2 linked regions of the Coturnix japonica genome follow. The main gene of each other region encodes a partner of the protein of the gene in region 2 in a complex. Links are inferred from orthologs where the notes say so. Each region holds a gene or a part of one and is shown on either strand. Other genes may lie near its edges. The genes, in order: FGF8 and FGFR2.

Evidence for each region.
Region 1: the proteins of FGFR2 (region 2) and FGF8 are in contact, whole or in part, in a crystal structure (PDB 2FDB), measured with the Homo sapiens proteins. The link is inferred for Coturnix japonica from reciprocal best matches to the Homo sapiens genes FGFR2 and FGF8. Residues at the interface, in NP_000132.3 of Homo sapiens: Glu160, Lys161, Glu163, Lys164, Leu166, His167, Ala168, Val169, Pro170, Asn173, Asp247, Val249, Arg251, Ser252, Ser282, Asp283, Ala284, Gln285, Pro286, His287, Ile288, Gln289, Ile291, His293, Leu309, Val311, Leu312, Lys313, Ala314, Ala315; in NP_149354.1 of Homo sapiens: His53, Val54, Gln57, Asp62, Leu64, Ser65, Arg66, Leu68, Ile69, Arg70, Tyr72, Tyr75, Arg77, Gly80, His82, Val106, Glu107, Thr108, Thr110, Phe111, Gly112, Ser113, Val115, Thr148, Glu149, Ile150, Val151, Leu152, Glu153, Asn154.

What each region holds. Positions count from the first base shown.
Region 1 is NC_029521.1:19,850,072-19,860,666, reverse strand, and holds the start of FGF8 (fibroblast growth factor 8), read right to left. Parts: upstream 5,371-10,595; 5' UTR 4,908-5,370; intron 4,416-4,907; 5' UTR 4,332-4,415; coding exon 4,300-4,331; intron 4,192-4,299; coding exon 4,155-4,191; intron 2,516-4,154; coding exon 2,335-2,515; intron 1-2,334. Other genes in the region: NPM3 (nucleoplasmin-3), read right to left, coding at 10,342-10,445. UniProt on the Homo sapiens protein: Plays an important role in the regulation of embryonic development, cell proliferation, cell differentiation and cell migration. Required for normal brain, eye, ear and limb development during embryogenesis.
Region 2 is NC_029521.1:27,519,464-27,529,536, forward strand, and holds the end of FGFR2 (fibroblast growth factor receptor 2), read right to left. Parts: intron 10,018-10,073; coding exon 9,895-10,017; intron 8,875-9,894; coding exon 8,804-8,874; intron 7,358-8,803; coding exon 7,220-7,357; intron 6,376-7,219; coding exon 6,270-6,375; intron 2,881-6,269; coding exon 2,716-2,880; 3' UTR 1,129-2,715; downstream 1-1,128. UniProt on the Homo sapiens protein: Tyrosine-protein kinase that acts as a cell-surface receptor for fibroblast growth factors and plays an essential role in the regulation of cell proliferation, differentiation, migration and apoptosis, and in the regulation of embryonic development.

The sequences.
Region 1 (10,595 bases), about 7.7 Mb from region 2:
CTATGCAGCTCGCTTTCACCAACAGCCCCCAGCCCTGCAGTGGCTTTGAAGCAATGCTGCTGGATGGCAGACCCAGGCCGCGTGCTAACTAAACCCAGCCTGAGCAGTGCTTCAGGACCACAAATAAATCACTGCCTGTCTCCATGATGTCTTGATCCTGCATCAAGCGTGGGGACTTCTCCCACTGCCCCCCACAGCTCCTCACCTCCAGCACCCCCTGCACCATCCTGCAGCCCCAGCCCAGGGAAATCTGGCCACTCTCACCCCACACAAGCCCCTTGTAGGGGCTCAGCATTCCCAGAGCACTGAGCCAGGGATCCCCATTCACCAGTATGGGGGAAGGATTGATCTGGGAGGCAGTCCAAGCTTTGAGGAGAATTGATTTTTCCCTGCTCTCTCCCAGAGATAGGAAAAGCAGGGAGGGAGGGAGGAGGAAGGCAGGCATGGATGCGTGGTTCTCCCCTCTGGCCCCAGAGTCACAGCCATCACCCTGCAAGATGGGGACAGCCCCGAGCGAAGGGACCACAGAGGGTGAATGGATCGACTGCACCATGAGAGGAGCCGGCAGCGCTGCCGGGGCCAAGAAGGAGTCCATCAGATATTGACAATTAAGACAGATAACGGAGAGCGCCGGGCTCCATGTGAAGTCGGCTGTAAAAACGTCAGCGTGGGGAGAGGGGTCACCCGCAAAAATAAATCAGCGCCTTCCTCCCGCCCCAAAAATCAGATGGGAAAAGAAACCAGTGCAGCAGAAGGAAGGGCCTTTGCTAACGAAGGGGGCTTTCTTCTGACAAAGGTTTCGGGGAGACCCTTTTTCTCCCTGTTTAAGGGACAGAGGGAGCTTAACATTTTCAACTCTGCTCTTTCACTGAAGTGACAGATTTATCCCAGAAAAGTTATGTTTCATACTCAAACTTTGAAGGGAAAGCGGCTACGTAAATGCTGAAAAAATGCAGCGAGACACACTTGATCCCCCAACTGGACTGCGAAGAGGAGAAAGTATTCAGGAAATGTTAAAAAAGGTGAAAGTAAGAAGCGATTTAATAGCTCTTCCAGACATGGGGGCCTCCCTGGAGATTCATATAGAACAATCCCGAACCTCTATTTTAACATTTACAGACTTGCAACTCCTAAAACTTTACATCTGAAAAACTGCTTGTTCTCTTTCTGCTTTAGATCAGCCCTCGTTTTCCTGCCCCGCTCCTCAGATGCTTCACCTCTTTTATTACGTTTTAATAGAGTTTTTCGAGCCGCCGCCGCGTGTCCCCTCCTTTTGGCCTTATTTAAACCTGGCCGCTCCTGGAGGTGTGGAGCTGCCTTGAAAACGCAGGCGTTACAGGGCTAAAGCCAGAGGAGGCTTTGGGGGTTGTTCGGCCCTTTTGCTTGGGAAGTTGGCTGACACCCCTTCCATCCCGGAGTGGCTCCCTGCTAATGCAGCACATGGGATTCCACGCACAGCTGAAGTTTGGTGCAACATTGGCAGCCAAAGGAAAAAGGGGAATAAAAACCCAACACCAAACCAGTCGGGGAAGGAAGCAAAGTGCTCCTACTAATCTCCCTCAACAAGAAAGGGAAATTGCAGCTAATGCCAAAGAACAACACTTGGGATGGCTCCATACGGCACACGCTGACATGGGCACCTCCTGCCCACAAGGGAATGGGGTGCAGTGCCCCACTCAGCGCGGATGGAGTTGACACCACTGTTCCTGGTGTGACACCAGCACACATGGTGAAGGTGCCCTGGCTTTGGGTGGCTGCAGCGTGGCACTGCTTTCCTCCCCAGAGAACCATGGCCTGGGGGGACACATGGTGCCAAGAGCAGCACAGCAGCAGGAGGGCTGCACACAGTTGCTGAGCCCCCCAGCTTTGTCTCCTCCTCACCTGCAGTCAGCACCTCACTGAGCCCACACTCCTTGCTCAGAAAGGGGAAGCACAGGGGGTACGTGGGGGAAACACCGCTTCGGATGTCTCTAACTCAGGGCAGGACTCCAGAACAGCACTTCACCTACAATTTCAACCCCCCTCACTTCTTTTCTTTTCCAACTTTGCCCTCTGTTTCTCCTCCAAAGGAAGAATCAGAGACGCTCAGTGCTGCCTGTGCCAAACTGAGCCTTGCAAGTCAGGTGCACAGCAGCACTGAGCAGCACCCACCCCACAAGCACCCAGACCCACTGAGCGCTGACCCCGCTGTTCTCCCTTCACAAACCCCCACACACTCCAAACGATCCTAATGATTTCTGCTCAACCAACAGGACGGAAACCATCAATCGGCACACAGCACTGAGGACACCTCCCAGCCCCCCCCTTAGCCCCCCCGGCCGCGTCCTTCCTTACCGTGCACATCCCCGTCCTCTGCCATCGCATTGATTTTCTTGTTGTCCAAGATCTGCACGTGCTTCCCGCTGGTCCGGCTGTACAGCTGGTAGGTGCGCACGAGCCGCCGGCTGAGCTGATCTGTCACCAGGCTCTGCTCCCTCACATGCTGTGTAAAATTAGGTGGGGACTGAACAGTTACCTTTAGGAAATTAAAAAATATACGACACACCATTATAATCTCTACTCCTCAGAGGGGAGAACGGGCTGAGCAAGGATCACCAGCGCCTGCAGAGGAGGAGCAGAGTCAGTGGGACGGGGGGGAGCTGAGCCCTTTGGGGACCGGGATCCCCCAGATGAGTGTGGGTGTCTTGGGGACATGAAGGAGCTCAGGGACTCCCAGTGTCCACTAGGACTCAGTGGGTCCCAGCTCATATGGAGGTACCTGAGATGGGGTATGCAGCTTCCAGGACCCCCTTTCCCCAAAACACCCTGCTCTTCATGCCCCAAACCCACAGATGAGGTAGAGCTATGAGCCATCAAGACTCCACTCCCCTCACGGGGTATCTATAACACAAACCCCAAGGAGTACCGTTACCGACGTGTGAGCCATCCTTCACCTTCACCCCCATCCCGGTGCCATCCCCATCCCAGTGCTGACCCCCGGCCCCATAGCAGCAGCCGACCCAACTCCTCCAGACCCTCTGCTCCCCAGACACAAGCAATTCAGCCCGATCCGCTTCCCCCATCCCCAGCACAGGGCTCCTTTCCCTTCTCGTCTCCATCCCCTCTTTTAAGTCCGGAAAGTTTCGCTGCTCACTGACATTTATAAAGACGTATTCTGAGCAAATGTTAGCGGGTCGATCCTTTCAACACCAGCAGGCCGGGACCCCCCCGCTACCCCCACGTCAAACGGGAAGATTCCCCACCACCAGCAGACCCCAATAAAAGCCGGAGCCGCCGCTCTCCCGCAGCCGCCCCTACACCGACATTTCCCCTCTCCAGTGCCACCCCTCTGCCTCCGCGCCTTTCCTTCAGCCGCCTGCGGATAACGCACGGACTCTCCCGGCCCTGATGAGGGTACCATGTGGAGGAGAGGTCATTAGCCGTGCCGCTCCGTCTCGTCCTCCAAAATATTACAGCTATGTTTTATACAACCGCACACTCCTTTTTGCTTTGGGGCTGGAAACTCCATTTTTTTTTTTTTTTCCTCCTGAGCTTCCAATGAAATAATCATAACAATAATAATAATAAAAAGCGGCTTAAGGAGCGTTTTCAAAACGCTTCTGCACCTGTGGCCTCGGGGGAGGGGGTTTCACCCCGCTTTGCACACACAGCCGCAGCCCCATCTCCTGCTGACACTCCTGGCCCCGGCGATGCCAACCAGCAGCAGCAACGTTCAGCTGGACTGAAATCTACGCTTTTTAGTAAGGAAATGGACTTTCTTTCCCTCCTTCCCCTTTTCCTTCCCTTTTCTCTTTTCTTCCTCTCCTCCCCCCCACCTTTTCCTTTATTCTCCCCTTTTTTCTTCCTCCACCCCGACGCTTTTATCTCGATTCTACTTTACTTTTCAGATGAAAAAACACCCCCACACGAGAGGAAGGGCCGATCCGTAGTGCGATTTGAAGAAGAACGGGAGGACCGAACGGCCGAAGCCCCTGCAACCAGGGTGGGCGAGGGGTCCTCCCACCCCCGCACCCCATCCCGCAGCCGGTGCGCAGCCGCCCGCTCCCGGCTCTTTCCAGCGGGGCTCGCGTCGTCTGAGGGACTTTAAGCCAACCCCCCGTCCCGACCCCCAGCCCCGAGGGGCGAACAAAGCCGGCGGCGGAGCGGGAGCTTACCTGGGCTTGCAGGCAGAGGACGAACAAGTGCATGAACCTGGAGGGGGGGGTGGACAGAAAACGGGAGAGAGATGTGAGCCGGGGGGCTGCGGGGAGGAAAGGAGGGAGGGCTGGGGGCAGGCGGAGGGAGGGCTGCGGTACTCACACGTAGCTGAAGAGCGAAGAGCAGGGGTCCATAGCGGAGCGCTGCGGGGCCGGCAGCCCGGAGCCCGGCGGTGGGGTGGGGGCGCGGCTCTGCTCGGCTCCTCGACTCCTCTCGCCCTGCCTCGCCCCGAGGAAAGGAGGGCACAAGCGGCTACAGAAGGGGAAAGGCCCCCGCCGGCCCGCCCGCCCAGCCCCCGGGGGAGCGCGGCCGGCAGCCCCCCGCCGCGGGGAGCCCCCCGCCCCGCTCCGCTCCGCTGCCGGCCCGGGAGGCGGCGGGGGCGGAGAGCCCGGGGGGCGGCCCCGGCGGAGCAAGGGAACCTCCGGCAGCGGCCGCTCGGGGGTGGCGGCACTACGGGCTCGGCCGGCGGAGGGATGCCGTCCCCGCGCCGTGCCTCAGTTTCCCCATCTGTAAAACGTGGCTTACGGGTCCGCGTTGTGGATTGGGGCCGAGCCCTCTCGCTGGACGTGCCAGACATTAAAAGGATTACCGGGGCGGAGGGGTGGGCAGGAGTTTCGAGAGGCTGAGCAAACAGCGCAGCCGGGGGTACTGGGCGGCGGGACCCCCCCCTCTTCCCTTCCCTTCCCCGGACGTCCCCGCCGGGCTCTTACCTGGAGGGGCGGCCGTCCGTCAGCACCGGCTGCGCGGGGCCATGGGGCCGCGGCGGGTCGGGGCTCAGCCCCGCAGCCCGGGTAGGGCCGCCGAGGGCTGCATTGTTCGGCGAGCCCCGTTGCTCCCGGCCCCGCCACCTGTTGCGCACCGGGGCGGGGGCTGCGGCGGGGCTGCGGCTGACGGGCGGGACCCCGGGGCCGGTACCTGGCCGGGGCCGCCTGCTCCGCGCTGAGTGACAGCCGCTAATTTGCCGGCCGTGCCCCGCTGCCGGTCCCCGCGCTCCCCGCGCCCTCCTTTATCTTATCAGAGCCCATAATTACAATTGCTATTTTGTTTCCTCGAATCAGCAATCAGCGCTATCTGCCGCCGCTGGAAAGGCAGCTCCTGTCAGCCGGCCTCTGAGTGACAGCGCACACACAGCGCTCCTGCGCGGCCCTCCCGCACCGGCACACGCACACACACACACACACATACACACACACACACATACACACACACACACACACACACACACACACACACACACACACGCACACACACACATACACACACACACACACACACACACACGCACACACGCACCCTGCAGCCCCGCACAGCCCTCCCTGCCCTGCCCGCACACCGCAGCTTGCTCATTCCCCCCTTGCTCGGGCACCCTCCAATGCTTTGCCCCCAAACGCTGCCCACCATCACCCCCCGAGGCTCACCCACCACCAGGCGCTGGGAGCGGCCACCACACCTTGCTGCCCCCTTCTTCTCTGTGCAAAAGACCGGAGGATGTTTCTGAAGGGCTTTCCTGAATGGCTGGAGAAGCCCCAGGCTGGGCCCGCTTTCACCCAGGGGGCTGCAGGGCGGGCTCTGGGGGTGCTCAGCCCCCTGCACCAACCCAGGGTGCAAGGCAGCTCCGTGCCCACAAGCTGAGCACCAGAGCAGGCAGCACAAGGTGCTCCCACCACCCTGCAGTGGAGCAATCCTTCCTTTCTTATACATTGCAAGGAAAGGGGTCTGGATGCAGCACCTCTCTCCCAGATGCCACTCGTGCTCACCCCTCCGTGGGCGCAGGGTCAGGCCATGCAGCACCATGCAGTGCACAGAGCGCACAACTGCACCGTGTCCAACTGATGCTGTGCTGGGGGGTGGGAGGCAGCCGGGGGCTGACAGCTCCACGTGCCCCCTGCCCTCAACAAACAGGCTCGAGTGGCAGCACGGCTGTGACACGGGGATCACCCACGGGCGGCCGCACGTCACCGACACAATGACAAACAGGCTCCTGCTGCTGCCCCGTCCTTCCCCAACTTTGTGCAGGTGAGCAATGCCACGGGGCGGGGAGCTGAGCACTGGGCTCACGTCTGGCTCTCCTGCTGGGCAGAGAAAGCTCAGCCTGAGGCACTGGGCTGAGCTGCCATAGGGCGGGGGGAGAAATCCCGTCCCAGCAAGGAGCCACGGATCTGCGGTGTTCCTGCTGCCACAGCGGTCACTCCTGGGGCAGGCAGCCAGCACGGCCCCATCGGGTCTCAGTACTGAATGCTGTGAGTGAAGCATCAAACACCCACAGAGATGTGAGCTCTGCTCTCCTTTTCCATAGAGCTGGGGATACTCAGGTCAGGATTTTATCCCCCAGATCACCCTCTTGCCTTGCCATGGCTAATGGAGATTGCCCAGGAAGGCAGCCTGTGGTCAGGCTGCTGGTGGTTGAAGGAGATACCAGGGCTGCCCCAGCTGGGCTGAACCACGGAGCAGACAGCAGACGGGCCGTCCTGCTCCTCTGTTTGCTCCATCACACAACATCCCTGACAGCCTCCACAGCTCAGCAGTGTCCCTGCTCCAGCACCGTCTCTACCCACAGCCCTGAAGAGTGAGCAAGTCAGCCCAGAGGGGCCCCTTCTGCCAGAGAAGCTGTGGCTGCAGTTCCCCACAACCCCCCAGCACTGCTGGTACAGGGATCACAGCACCAACCCCAGCTGATGGAGGAGAGCAGCACCTGCAGGGGGCACTTCAGCACCCATCTGAGGGTGAGAGGAGCTCCTGGCTGCAGGTCTGGATGCTCGGCCACACATCTCCAAGCAGGCACACAGAGACCCCCCCCAGCGGAGCCAAAGGGACACCACTCCCCCTGCTCTCACCCTCCCCATTCCTGCCCGCAGCATTAATGGGGCGTTGTGGAGGCAGCAGCTCTCCTCCATGGCTGAGTGGTGCTGAGCAGCCCGGGGCGATCCCACCACTCACCATTAACTCAGCATCCCCCCAAGGGCCAGACCCCACCACCATGCGTGGGAATGAACTTGTCTGCACTACCCACAGCTCCAGGAACAGGGAGGGGGGTACAACTGCTCCCCGTTCAGTGAGTGGCACCAGGGCTGAGAGTGGTGGGAATGTTGGGACAGGAGAACAGCAGCATGGGGCTGCATACACCCTGCACAGGACCAACCACAGTGGTGTGGCCCCATTAGGTAGACACAGAGGGAGGGACTGGAGGTGAGCCAGGGACATGGGTAAAGACCAGAGAGTGCCCACGAGCTATGGGGGAAAGGGGGCAGCAATGAGAAGGAGGACTCCCAGGCCACACACACCTCCAAGGAGGGAGAACTGGTAAAGGTCCCAGCCCCAGCCCTGAGTGATTTAAACATGAGGTTGGGCATTTTGGTGTCCATCTTCTCTGTACACATCAGCCCGAGCAGAGGTACGGTGGGCCTTGGACATGGGAAAATGGAGACATGCAGATGAGAATAAGCACATGTGGTGCTTGAGCAGCTCTACCCCATCCCTGCTCCCAGCACAGATCAGACAGCAGCCCCAAGACCTGCTCCCAGCGTGCTGCTATCTGGCACAGCCCACCCAGCACCTTCCTCTTGCCCTGCAGCACATCTGACTTCGGTTTGGGTCCTCCTGGGAAAAGGATTCCTGCACCCAGCCCTGTGGGGGGGCTAAGCCTAAAACCAACAGTGGTGGCCAGGGGGCTGTCGGCTGGCTGTAACACTACCTCCATTTGTTTGCTTATAGCATCCACCCAAAATGCCCGTGTGTGTGTCTCCAGGCCCCTGTGTCAGTGGCAGCTGAACTGCTGACCCCAGGAGTTTGCAAAACATCAGGGTTATGGCCCCTTGGACACCACAGCCCGGTGGAGATGCTGCTCATCCCAACCTCATCCTGGGGAACCAGCCCCAAGCATGGGGACAAGCGAGAGCCAAGCCCAGAGGAGGGGCAAGGTGGGCACACTCCCCATCGCACCTGCTGCTCTTTGGACCAGCCCCGTGGACTTACCCGAGCTCATCCCTCCAGTTCCCACCACAGGCACCAAATCCTGCCCATCTCCCCTAAGAACAGAAGAACAGCAGGTCCGGACACCCCTAAATCCCACTGGGCTCAGCCCTGCTGCCACCAGCCCTGGCAGGGAGTTGTGGCCAGCGGTGACAGCTCTGCCAGCACCAGAGCCATCCCAGCCTGCAGCGATTAGAAGGGTCAGAGGGCAGAGCACCTGTGACCCCAGGGTATCTCAGCTGTGGCTGTTGGGTGCAAAGCTGCCATCGCTGCCTAGGGATGCAGGAGGGGACAGCGTGGCAGAGCTGTGCTGAGCAGATGGAAATTCTTGCTGTGCAGCAGTGGGCACGGACTGCAGCTGTCCTACACCACCCAACCATGTTCACTTCTAACACCTGCCCTGGGTGCGTATGGCTTTGGGTCTGTCTCACAGCACGATCTGTGCTCCATCATCACCAGGCACTACCCCAGCTGCGCCCCACAGCCCTGGTTGTGCTGGGCATCCATTCAGCCACCGGTACCCGAGGAGAAAAGCAAAGTGAGAAGCGGAGCACTGATGGAGCAGGGAACCAGCCCCACCTACAGCACGGCCACAGCTGTGCCTCGCATGGGCTGCCCTGGGTCAGTGTCCCGGGGATGTTATAGCAGGGAGGGATCCACCCCCTGGGATGTATCGCACAGCACCCCAGAACACAGCCCCAGGGAGGAGGGATGCTCAGAGCCACCCCCCTGATCCCACGCTCCCCTTCCCACGCACCCCAGCACAGTTGTACCTGAGCTCACCCGCTCTCCTTCAGCCCTGTTTGTTTGCCCAAGGTATTTGTGGCCGGTGGCACCTGCTCCGATACAATCAGCTCGGCAAAGGAAGCTGCTCACCTAGCGTGACCCCTGTAATTCCATCCTTCCCCATTAACAGCCCCCCTCCCAGCCCCCTGCCATCCCAGCATTTATCTCCCTCTCTCCCGAGCGCATCCAGGCTGAGACATTGCTGGGCAGGGGGAGCAAACCTTTCCAAGGCACTGAGAGCGCCTGGCAGTGCCAGCTGCCCCAGCCCCTCTGGGTCATTCCTTCTCACAGAACTACCCCTCCTGCCACAGCCCCTTGTCCCAGCGCCCCTCAGACAACCAGCACCTCGGCATCCTCCTTCTATCCGATAAGATCCCAAATGCCATCTGACGTCAGCCTGCATAACCTCTCCCTCCCGGTACCACTCTCTCCTCACCCCGCACCAGCTGCTCCCCCAGCCCAGCCTGGCAGGAGAGCTTGTTAAAAATGATCTACAGGCTCTTATCTGCCCCAGCGAGCGAGCAAGACCAAGGCTCCAAACACCCGAGGACACCTACGAGGTCCCGCACGCTCTGGCCGTGCATTGCTGGGCTCCATTCACCCCGTTCTACCCTCCCACTCCTCCGGTCCAGGGCTGCCCGGACCCCATCCCCTCTTTAAGGCACGGTCGCCGCGCTGCCTGCCTGCCACCTAGCGGCCCCCGAGGAGCGACCCGGAGCCCTCCCCCGTCCCCCCCCGGCCTCCTGGGCCCCGTACGATGTCACACGTCCCCAACACGCCTCGGTTTCCCTGCAGGGATCAGCGACACCGCCGAGCACGGGAGGAACCTGGCAGCCTCCGCACCAAACCCCCACCTTTATTCAGTGTGTAAAAACCGTCCTACAAAGCGGAGCGACCCGGAACCTCCCTCAAATCACAGCAGAAGTCAGCTCCCACAGCACCACCCTGCAAGGGAGGATGCTGCTTCCCGCTGCTGCTGGGGAAGAGATACACGAGGCACTGCAGAGCCAGGGGGGCTGTGCACACAGCAGAGGTCCAGGGCAGCAAAAAGGCACAGGGTGAGGACCGCCATCCCTGACCCCCAGCGAGGGTATGGGGAGATGGGATCACCTCCCATGGATGTGGGAAAGGAGACGTCCCAGTGCTGGGAGCAGCCCCTGCCCACCACCCCCAGGAGGTACAACAGGAAATTCCAAAAACACAGCAAAAGTTGAGGTTGTGACGGGAGGTGTCTGAGGTAACAGCTGTCTGTGGAGACATCCCAGCGAGTACCTGGAAGGAGAAGCAGATTGAGACCAGCACCCTGGAAAAGGCTCCCACTCAGCACCAGCGCTGCACGGCAGGGCAGCACCCACCGTCACCCAGCGCCTCACCTTGCTGGGATACGAGTCACTGCTTCCTTCTCTCCTTCTTGGCAGGCACGATGGGCGCCATCTCCTCCTCAGACATGTCATCATCATCAAACTCCTCGAAGGAAGCATCATCCCTGTGCACTGGGACACAGACAGGCGGGTCACTGACCAGGAGAGGGCTCTGGGGAACCAGCACTGAGCACACGTGCTGGGAAGCACCAGGTGTGGCTCCCACGGGCTCCCTGGCTGGCACACACACTGGTACATGCCCCCTTACTCCCCCCAAGCCAT
Region 2 (10,073 bases):
CTTGCTGCATTACAATCAAGTTGTGAGAAACAAAATATGCAGTAACTTATTCACGTATTTCAGCCACATTAACCTGGGCTTCTACATCCGTATTTTCTCACACACTACAGAGTTGATTTGAATCAATACTTCAATGTGAGACAAGACAATTAGATGCTGCAGGAAACAGTGATTAAACACAGAGCATAAATCTCATTCCCCACATCAGTATAAATCCGTTTTCTGACGTAGGGCTACTCTTCATTATTGCTCCTATTTTATCAGTGGCGATTTTATTTTTACATGAGACAGCAATCCAAACTCCTAACCCCTCCTTCTCATTGAAAGAGCCCAAGGTGCTGCTTCAATAAAGAACATCCCCACTTTGGACAAATTCTGGGCTTTATTTCCTGCTCTCCAATCTCCTCTTGCAACTCCATATTCAGTTTTCTACTTCTCCATCATTAACTGAAGGCTTCTGTGTTGTACTCTATATAAACAGTGCACTCAGAGGAGAAAATCTTCAGATATCAGAAAATAACAAAACCTTAATCCAGGGGTCACACTGTAAAACTGGAATAAGGAGAATGGTGCAATATGCTTCAGCCAGTTTGTAAAGCTGTGGTCCATCTCCAAGGTCCAAATCTTTATCTTTGTGAGTTAAAACAAATACGAACACAGAAAAGGCCCACCAAAAACCCCAACAACCTAAAATGAAAACATATTAAATACACAGTTTTACATTATTAAATGACTCCTTTCCATTACACTGGTCAACCTTGACAGGCTTCTGTAGTATGTGGAAAAGACCCTTCTCTGAGTGAGCGGCAAGAGTAATGTGAGCAGAACGTTCCCTTCACTCAAGCAGCATGAGCTACTTTACTCAATCTCCCTTTTACTTGTTTGCAAGATAAAAGGAATATATACATATACACATATATATATGCATACATATATATATATTCTTTCTACAAGGTCTGTTTTCTTTCCATCAGTTAGTATTTTTTTGTTTGTTTAAATACCATTCCTGAAGGAACTGCTTTGGGGATGTGATATGAAATGCCCTTCTTTGATAAGGGCAGAAGGAAGCGCTTCTGGATGCGTTCCATCACTCAATGTTCAGGAAACCATTTTGTATGACACAAAGGATTAGGAAAAATAAGCTGCATGACATTTATTTTGTAATTTTAACATTAATATCTGTAGAAACATTTTATTGTCAGTACAAAAGTTAACAGATTTTAATACTTCTTTTACCCAATTAAAAAAAACCAACAACAACAACACACATAAAACAGTGTAATTTGCATTCATATCGCATGGCCATATCAGTGTGAGGGATCTGAAAGTACAAACACAAGACTTCCGTACAAAGATACAAACAACAGTGATATTTTAGCAGAGGCCAGTGCTATACCTACTGTTATGGAATGAATCAGAAGGAAATACTGGAGTCAGCATGAATTAATCCTTTAAAAAGATGCTGATATTCCTATGGCAAACGGTCATTATAAACAACCTCTCTCTTTTTAAACTTCAAGCTACAATAGAGGGATAGTCTAAAAGGCAAAAGATCCAGGCCAAAAGATCTGGAACCTATTACCCAACCCAGTGAAGAGAAATCTATTTAATCTGTTGCATGTGCAACCCAGGGTAGAAGCTCAGCTCCTTTTAGAGCTGTACGTCCTGCTATGGTTATAGACAAGTTAATGACTTGCCTTACTTTAGGAACCCATTCTAATTGTTTTCTCTCTTTCTCTCTTTCTTGGTGGAATGATTGGATTTTCACCATGGGAAACACCGCCTAAAGAGTTAAGTTGTTAAAGTGACAAGTATTGAGAATAAAAGACATTCTTGTTAAAGGATTTGGTTTCGATAAGAATCATCATCTGACACTGCAGTTTTTAAACACAAATAAATCACAAGTTTAATTCCCCCAAATTAGTTATATACTGTAAATATTTCTTTTCTTTTAAAAGATCTGAAAACTAGTAAAGTCTGAGCAATATACCTACTAGTTCTCTGTGCTGCCTGCATAGAAATGCCATTTAAATTACAAAAACACAACAACCCTATAAACGATTAATTGTTTTGTACATTACCAATTAGTTAATAAATTAATGATATACCATTTTCCCTGAAAGCAAAGTATTTTCCACCCTTGGATGGTGAAAATTAAGAAATTCTGTGTAAGAACAGCATTTAGCAAATAGCTGTTAAAAAAGAGACTAATCTGCTAGGTGGATTGGGACATCCATTTTTAAAATCAATACAAAAAATAATTCATTGTAAATATATATAATATATATTTATACATATTTTGAATATATTTACATACATCCAGCACCTATATACTGCATTTGTGCTCTGTAAGTGTGTGCCAACATATATTTTCTCCAAATATTACAAAATAAACAAGAAAGGCAGACCCAGAGTTTGCCTCAAGTCCAACTGGTCCATTGTACAAACAAAGTCTGTTGCAGCTTAGGGTAAGACAGAAAACCAATAGCGATGGGTATCTAGAAACAGCTCATAAACATTCTTCTTCCTTGGGAACATTTAATACAAGTTGCACATTATGAGATCTTTAATGTAGGATCTGACTGCTTTCCTCCAAGTTTTCTTTTTTCCTTTCTTTTTTCCTCCCATATTTCATATGTACAGGCAGAATTTTAGGGTCCCGGAGAAAAGATGTTGTTTTGTATGTGGTAGGTAGCTTGGTGTTCTTGCTTCTTTTCATGTTTTAACGCTTCCATTCATGTGTTGGTACTTGGGAAGACAAGGTTCGTAAGGCATTGGATCAGGAGAAAAAACAGAGTCATCACCTGAAGAACACGAACTCCTGGTGTCGGGGTAACTAGGTGAATACTGCTCCAGAGGTCCGCTGAGGTCCAGATACTCCTGTGACAAAAGAAATCAATTGAGATTTTAACCAGCGAGTAAAACTGGCAGTAGTGTGTTCCAACTGCTCTGATTTGGCTCGATCACACAGTGGGTAAAAGAGCAGTTTAAAACCAACACTCATTTCCCTAATGCAATTGCATTCTAAACTGCCTGTAGCTCAAATATCTCATAAAACAAGGAGCCTGAATAAAGAAAGAAAGCCAAGCCAATAACACAGTACTTTTGTCAAGTCCAACGGCATCCACATTAGCCGCGTCAGTGGAAATAAACATGCCAACCACATCAAAAGAAGACTTTTCACTTACAATGATAAAAATGAAATTTCATCCTAAATAGAACCATTTTTCTCCAGCACGTGGTAATGATTTGGAGAGGGAAAGATACTTCCAACTTTGTATTCCTTTGGTCAATTTAAATGTCTGTTTTATATTCCGTGATATTAACTTTGCGTTTAAACATGCAGTGGCAGACATAAGTGCAAAAAAAAAAAAAAAAAAAAAAAAAAAACCTGAAAGAAAATTAAATTCACTCAATTGGGTTCTTTATACTCCATTTTCTTCTCTGTGTGTCTGTGTGCACGCCTGCGTGCCCCAGAGAGTAGCCATGACCAAAGCAGTCATTAAAAAAGGAAATAATATCTGCTGAATCCAAGTTTTGGGTTAAGGCTCTTTTGTTAGAAACAACAGTTTTGGCAGGAGAAGAAAGTTATTTTCCCCCTTGAAATGTTCCTTCTCTTTCAACTTCTAAAGGCAGCTGCATTCATTTAAATGCAATCTCTTCATTTGCTAAACCACAAGTTATGATCGTACTGACGAGACGAGTCCTCCACCTCAGTCGGTGCTTTATGCTGCTGTGCTTTGGGTTGGAGTAATTTCATTCTTTCGTTGATATTTTTTTCCCTTAAGTCAGAAATGTGACCATGTTATTGCTTAAAAAATGGTCACTGTTTTAAGATGGAGGAAAATGTAAGCTTTAAAATGCCAACAAATGTAATAGGCAACAAGGGAAAGCAGTTTGGATCAATGATGTTCAAAAGATCCACAAGGACAAGCTTGGCATGTATTTACGTGTAAGCAATGCAGCAATGCAACCCTGTGTAACCAGAAATGACTGAGCACTTTCTAGAAAGTCAGAAGAAAGTCTTCCAGCATTTGAAGCTTTCTTGTGGGACTGCAGACGCAGCTTGTCATATCAAAAGGCTTGGTATAATTCAGTATGAGCTCAGAACTGAAGGTGGGGATCCCCATCTCCTCTCCAGCCAGCTTGTTCAACATAAATAGCCACAGTAAAAAGTCCCCAGCACTGGGATTTCAATGAGGCTTGGGCAAAATAATCACTTACACACATGCAGAACATATTATTGGCAAACTAATTTTGGAGCTGCTGGGCAAGCCAGGTTGACCCTGTATCAACAATGGCATATGTGGGAAAGACAAGGTACCATGGTGGAGTGGATGAGTAAAAGTATGGTCAGATTGAGGCATGGAGTGGCTGTGCTTCAGCTAAACTGCACAGCTTACTTGAAATCAGAGGTCTCGAAACCACATGCAGTGGCAGAAGATGGGACACACTGGAGCTCATAGACAAGAGAAGTAACTTGCTTTCTTAATCCAGGGCAAAAGCAGTGTCATAAGATGAAGGCTTAGATATTAGGAAAAGCCTTCAAGAGGTAGAACTATTGAAACAGAGCAGTGGGCTGTTGTGGGGCAATGCAGAAATGCAGCAGTGGAGACATTCAAAGACAAAGTTACACAAACACGTCAGACATGATAAATGTACACTGGATCCTGCTGCAGGCCGCTCAGGTGGACTGGATGTGTTGCTGAGCTTTTTCCAGACCTTTTCCCCAACAAATTGAGCCTAAAGTCATTTACATCACCCTAAAGGCCTTTTCAGGTTACCTTTGAGATCCTTCCAGGCCCCATAAGCGCTACACAACTGGAAGACAAGATGCTTAAACACACAAGAAGAGGAAGAAATATCCTCTTCCAGGCTTAGAATTACAGCCCAGAACTTCCCTCTCGACTTTGCAAATGCATTCCAAGCCACCAAGCACACTGTGATGGCAGCCAGCCCACTGCCAACTGCTCTTGTATGGTGTGTAAATGATGCAGGAAGGGATTCAGTTAGTGTTGGATGGGGGAGAAACTGTAAGGGTACACATAGCTACGCCGCTGGCTTAGTCAGGAGCACATATTCCTGCCCCATTCCCAAACCATTCCTGAAAACGCCACGTTTTGGAGAAAAATAATCCAGATAAATTTATAGCTGCTGCTGTAGCCAAAGAATCTTCTCAGCCAGAAGTGTAGACTTACTCTACTAGATAAATGATGTTCATAAAAAACAGCATCTTATTCAAGGTCTCCCACCATCTTTATGCAGTATAGGCTTTCCTATATGCATATGAATAGACTATGAATATCTTTTAAAAAATAAATAAATCTGAGAACTCTGAAAAATTAGAAAGTAATGGTGACACACATAACATGATGCAAACCTTTTTTCTACATTCCTCCCCCACCCCCTAGTATATAGAAGTGCTATAATAAAATATACTGAAGAACTGTTGAAGTGTTCTCATCCCCCTCAGCCCCCATCTGCATAACTTGCCCCAAATGACAGGAATTTGTAACATGTTTTTGAGGTACGTTTTCTCTCAAAGTTCCCACCAAAACAATCAATATTTCCATTACTCGTGATCTTCCTCTAAGGTGCCTGCGATATAGCAGTAAGAGAACCGATTCCTGTGTGGATACGCTAATCAGTGTGTTTCTTGCTAGAACTAATCATATTTCAGACCTCTGAAAGAGTGCTGTTCAGATGAAACCCTTTTGCATTCATACAGCCCAACCTGAAGCAGTGTTAGGCAGGACCTTTGGATAATTGGATGGCTGTTCACATGCTCCCTGCGGGCCCTTGTTCCCTCCACCGAGAGCTACTTTAGTGAACCTAATTCACTCTCAGACACAATCTGAAATCTACTATTGACAATTTCTCCTCTTCTGACCTAGATATCATGGCTGGGAATCAAACTGAGCTAATAAATGAAAAACGTCATGAACTCTCCTCCACTCCTCCACACGAAACTCATGCTGAAATATAAACATTGCCGCTCAGTCTGCCACGTGTATTTCCTCAACAACACTATGCTAAAAACATAAAAAATACAAAGAGAAATTAACAAAAACATTTTAAAGATGTGTTTGTCCTGTTACATAAACCAAGACATAATGACAAGAAACTGAGGATTTCATAGGATACATAGTTTAGCTGCTTCTAACTACAGAGCATGGTGACAAACAGAGCAAGAAGAGAACAGGATTTCATAACTGCATAAATTCCACTCATCCTGATTAGTAGCTTATGGAGGGAAACAATCTACGTACCTCATTAGTTGTGAGAGTAAGGATCCGATCCAAGTCTTCTACCAACTGTTTAAAAGTTGGTCGCTGTGAAGGTACAGCCTGCCAGCAATCTCTCATCATCATATAGCTGCAAGAAATGCACATTTTCTTGGGTTAATTAAAATCACACATCCTTCTGATAAGCCTTTTCATACACAGCCAGTATTCTTCACCACAAGTAAAGCAGCGAGCTCTCCATAGTCTTAAACATGGACAACTGCCTCTGCCCAAACCATACAATGCTGTCACTTCCCTCAAAAGATGCATCTCTATTTCTATCCATGCTTGCCTAGCATCTGAATTTCCTCTTTGTGGACCTGAGTCTGCATTCTACCGTGGCATTTCAGCAGCATTAAATTACATGTGCTTAAATCTTTTATCATGTAACAGACTGCAGCCTTTGTGAAGTGAAGAAATTAAAATGGGGGATAAAAGCAAAAGCTATCAAGAGCTATATTGAAGTATTAGAAAAGGAAAGCACTCTCCCACTATCTCTGGTAGACAGTGCTGTGCTAATGTTAAAGCTCCCAAATGCACTTTTTTTGTGTACAAAACCAGCTGGTTGTAGCTTATACAGGATAAGAGTCTGTGTGTGGTATGGCTATGTGTGCCATTTATGAATTTTCACATTTCATGAACCCAAACTGAGTAAATAAGGGTCTAAAAGTACTGACAAAGACTTGCTGATAGATGAGCTCATCCATTTTCAAAGGGATCACAGCAGGGTGTTTAAAATGTCCTCCACCAAACATTTCCTGGAGACCTTTCCATAGTGTTTCTATACACATCTATATGCACACACATTCACTATTTCAGAGCCAACAATTCTGAAAATGCTACATTCTCCTGGGGTAGCATTAACCGTGTGATGGCTCCTTTCCACGTCGGGATATTCTATGATTTCAGTGCAGTCTGCAACCCTTGGTCCTTACAGTTCATTGGTGCAGTTGGCAGGTTTATCCATTCGGTGCCCTTCTTTAAGCAGCTTAAAAAGTTCCTCCACGGGGATTCCTGGGTAGGGAGACCCTCCCAAGGTGAAGATCTCCCACATTAGCACACCAAACGACCATCTGCAAAAGAAAGATAAAACAGCATTAGGAAAATTGCCTTCCCGCTGTAAACAGAGTCATTTAGTTATTTGTTTATTTGTTTGGTAAGAAAACGAAGGAGGGAGAACTTCAGCCAGTTTTCCTGCCTGCTCCCCACCTCCAGAGCTGCCTCGCCACGTCCCGCTGGCAGCCATGGGCCCACTGCCAGGCTTCTCTGCCAGGTAAGCAACAGCGCAGAGCCTGCCCTGGCCCCGAGCTGCTCTGCAGTTCTGCTAGCTTTGCAGCAGTGTATTTTAGTAAACTGTTTGCACAAACTTACAATAATATTATCCAAAGGCACCGTGGGGCCAAAACGTCTCCCAGTTCCAACACCGAAATGCCCGTGCTCTGCGCTTGTTGAGAGCTCACAATGACTTCCAGCTCTAAACCAGCCAAGCCGTTTACTTCACATTCACTTAAATATTTTGTCAAGATGTTATTTTAAAGCAAAAGTTGGCTCCACCCTTAACCTGTGTATATAGCTTCCTTCATAAATAACATAAAGATGGCAGGAAAGGCCTCGGTAAATGCTTTTCTTAAGGAGAGAACAACTTGAGAAGAGCATCCAAGTTAAAGGAGAAGGCACCTCTTATTTTCTCTACCCTGCTCCTTTCTATTTTAACTCTGTGCTGTCATGCATAAGCTTTTACACCTGTGCTGGGAAGCATCCAGCCTTTTACGGCTAACAGCTTCTCTTGGACAAATAAAAAGCATAAGATCTTCATCTGCACTGAGTAAAAAATACACATTTACTTTGAGCTCAATGCATGCGAGCACTGAGGATGGGCCCAGGAACTTTAATAGGAAGCAGAATTATGGGAGCTGTTGCATCAGCCAGCTACACCACGCACATTACAAGATCCTGAAGTGCCAGAGATCCAATGATTTCCTTCTGTATGTGAAGCACTGCTGGGATGCAGCATCTCTAAAATCTGGGAAAGCACTTCTGGTATATCCAGGCTATGTTTTACTGTACACAACCACAGCACAAATTTTCACAAGATTCTTTTTTCTTTTTTTTCTTCTTTCTTTTCCCTCTCTTCATTTTGTGTTGTTTTTTTTTTAACCTGAAGGAAGTGCAGAGTACATCGAAAGCCAAGCAAATTAGATAGACTCTTTGTAGCTGCACATCCGTAAATAAGTTCAAGGGGGGAAACTTCCGCACTGACAGAAGGAGGTTAGCATTTTCCACCTTTCATGTGCTTTGAAGCCAGGCAGATTAGTAACAGAGCACTGGTTAGCAGTCTACCATAAAATCCTCACTTTCTAAGGGCAAGTCCTGTTCCATCTATTAATATGTGAAACAAAATGAAAACGCTTAAAGGGAAAGGATAGCAGGAAAATACATTCTGAAATATGCCAAACTTTAAGGAACGTGAACCAGGTTCCCCTCCTGCCCTTCCAGACTACACAAATAAAGTCACTTACACATCGCTTTGGTGCGTGTAAACTCTGTCAAACAGAGCTTCTGGAGCCATCCACTTTACTGGAAGCCGTCCCTGTATATTTGGAGGAGAAGGAAAGAGGAATGAAAATGAAAGTCCAAAATGAAGATTTTAACACTGATTTTTGTTTCAAATAAACACACAGTTTACTTCAAAAACTTTCATTAAAATAATAATAAAATACCCTCTTATAATTGAGTCTGCTTGCACAAAGTCCATTCACTGAACCCAAGAATTTCATTTTCCTTTCCCCAAAGCCTGCAGCCACAGCTGCCTGTTGCTCTGCATAAAAGCTCTGCTTTGCTTAGAGCCAAGGAGCTGTACCAAATTTGATATGAAATGGATTCAGATCCCCTCCAGCGCCAACAAATCCCTACCTGGCTGCTCCGCCTTTTGGAACTACAAGGACTCTGATAATTACTGTTCAAATGCCATTCATCACTCAGTGCTTTATTTTTATAAATGAGCCAGGCAATGTGATTAATTAATATTTCGTATTAATGCTATTTCGTATTAACAGAGTCTGAAGAACTGAAAGAATTCTGCAAAGTTCCCGTCTTAATTTGGGACAGGTTTAACAGCCAAACAACAACAGGTATTGAAAATCCATTTTCTCAAGCTTTAGACCAGCTTTAATGCTATGGTTATTCACATCCATGCACAGGCAAAATGCATAACCCTGTATTGTGGCACTACTACACAAACAGGACTTTTATTATGGTTACAGCTATCACTGTTTGTGCAGTGTTTTTCTTAATCCTAGGGCTGGTTCAAAATGAGCTAGAATCAAATTTCCACCTATTTCAAATGATTGGAGTCGAGGACGTACAACATGGGTAGTTGTATTCTAGCAGTTATAATAAATCATAAAAAATAGAGCCTATTTGTTTATCTTTTTAAACTAACTGTCACTCTAAGAGGGGGAAAGAATTGCATATGTCCTTGATGTCTGTTTTCTGTCTGATTAAAAGCAAGTCTGCTGGACAAGAAGCCCATTAAGATTATAACCATAGTTTTGAAGTGAAACATTGAAAGAAACACTTGTTCCCAGAGATAAGCAAATCATCCACTTACATTAGTAGTCTTTTTATAATAATCTATATTGTTGATGTCTCTGGCTAAACCGAAGTCTGCTATTTTCATGACATTATTTTCAGTAACCAAAACATTTCTTGCGGCAAGGTCTCGGTGGATGCACTGGAGAGAAAGACAAGACAAAAACACCCACTGAAATACAACACTGCAAAAAAAAC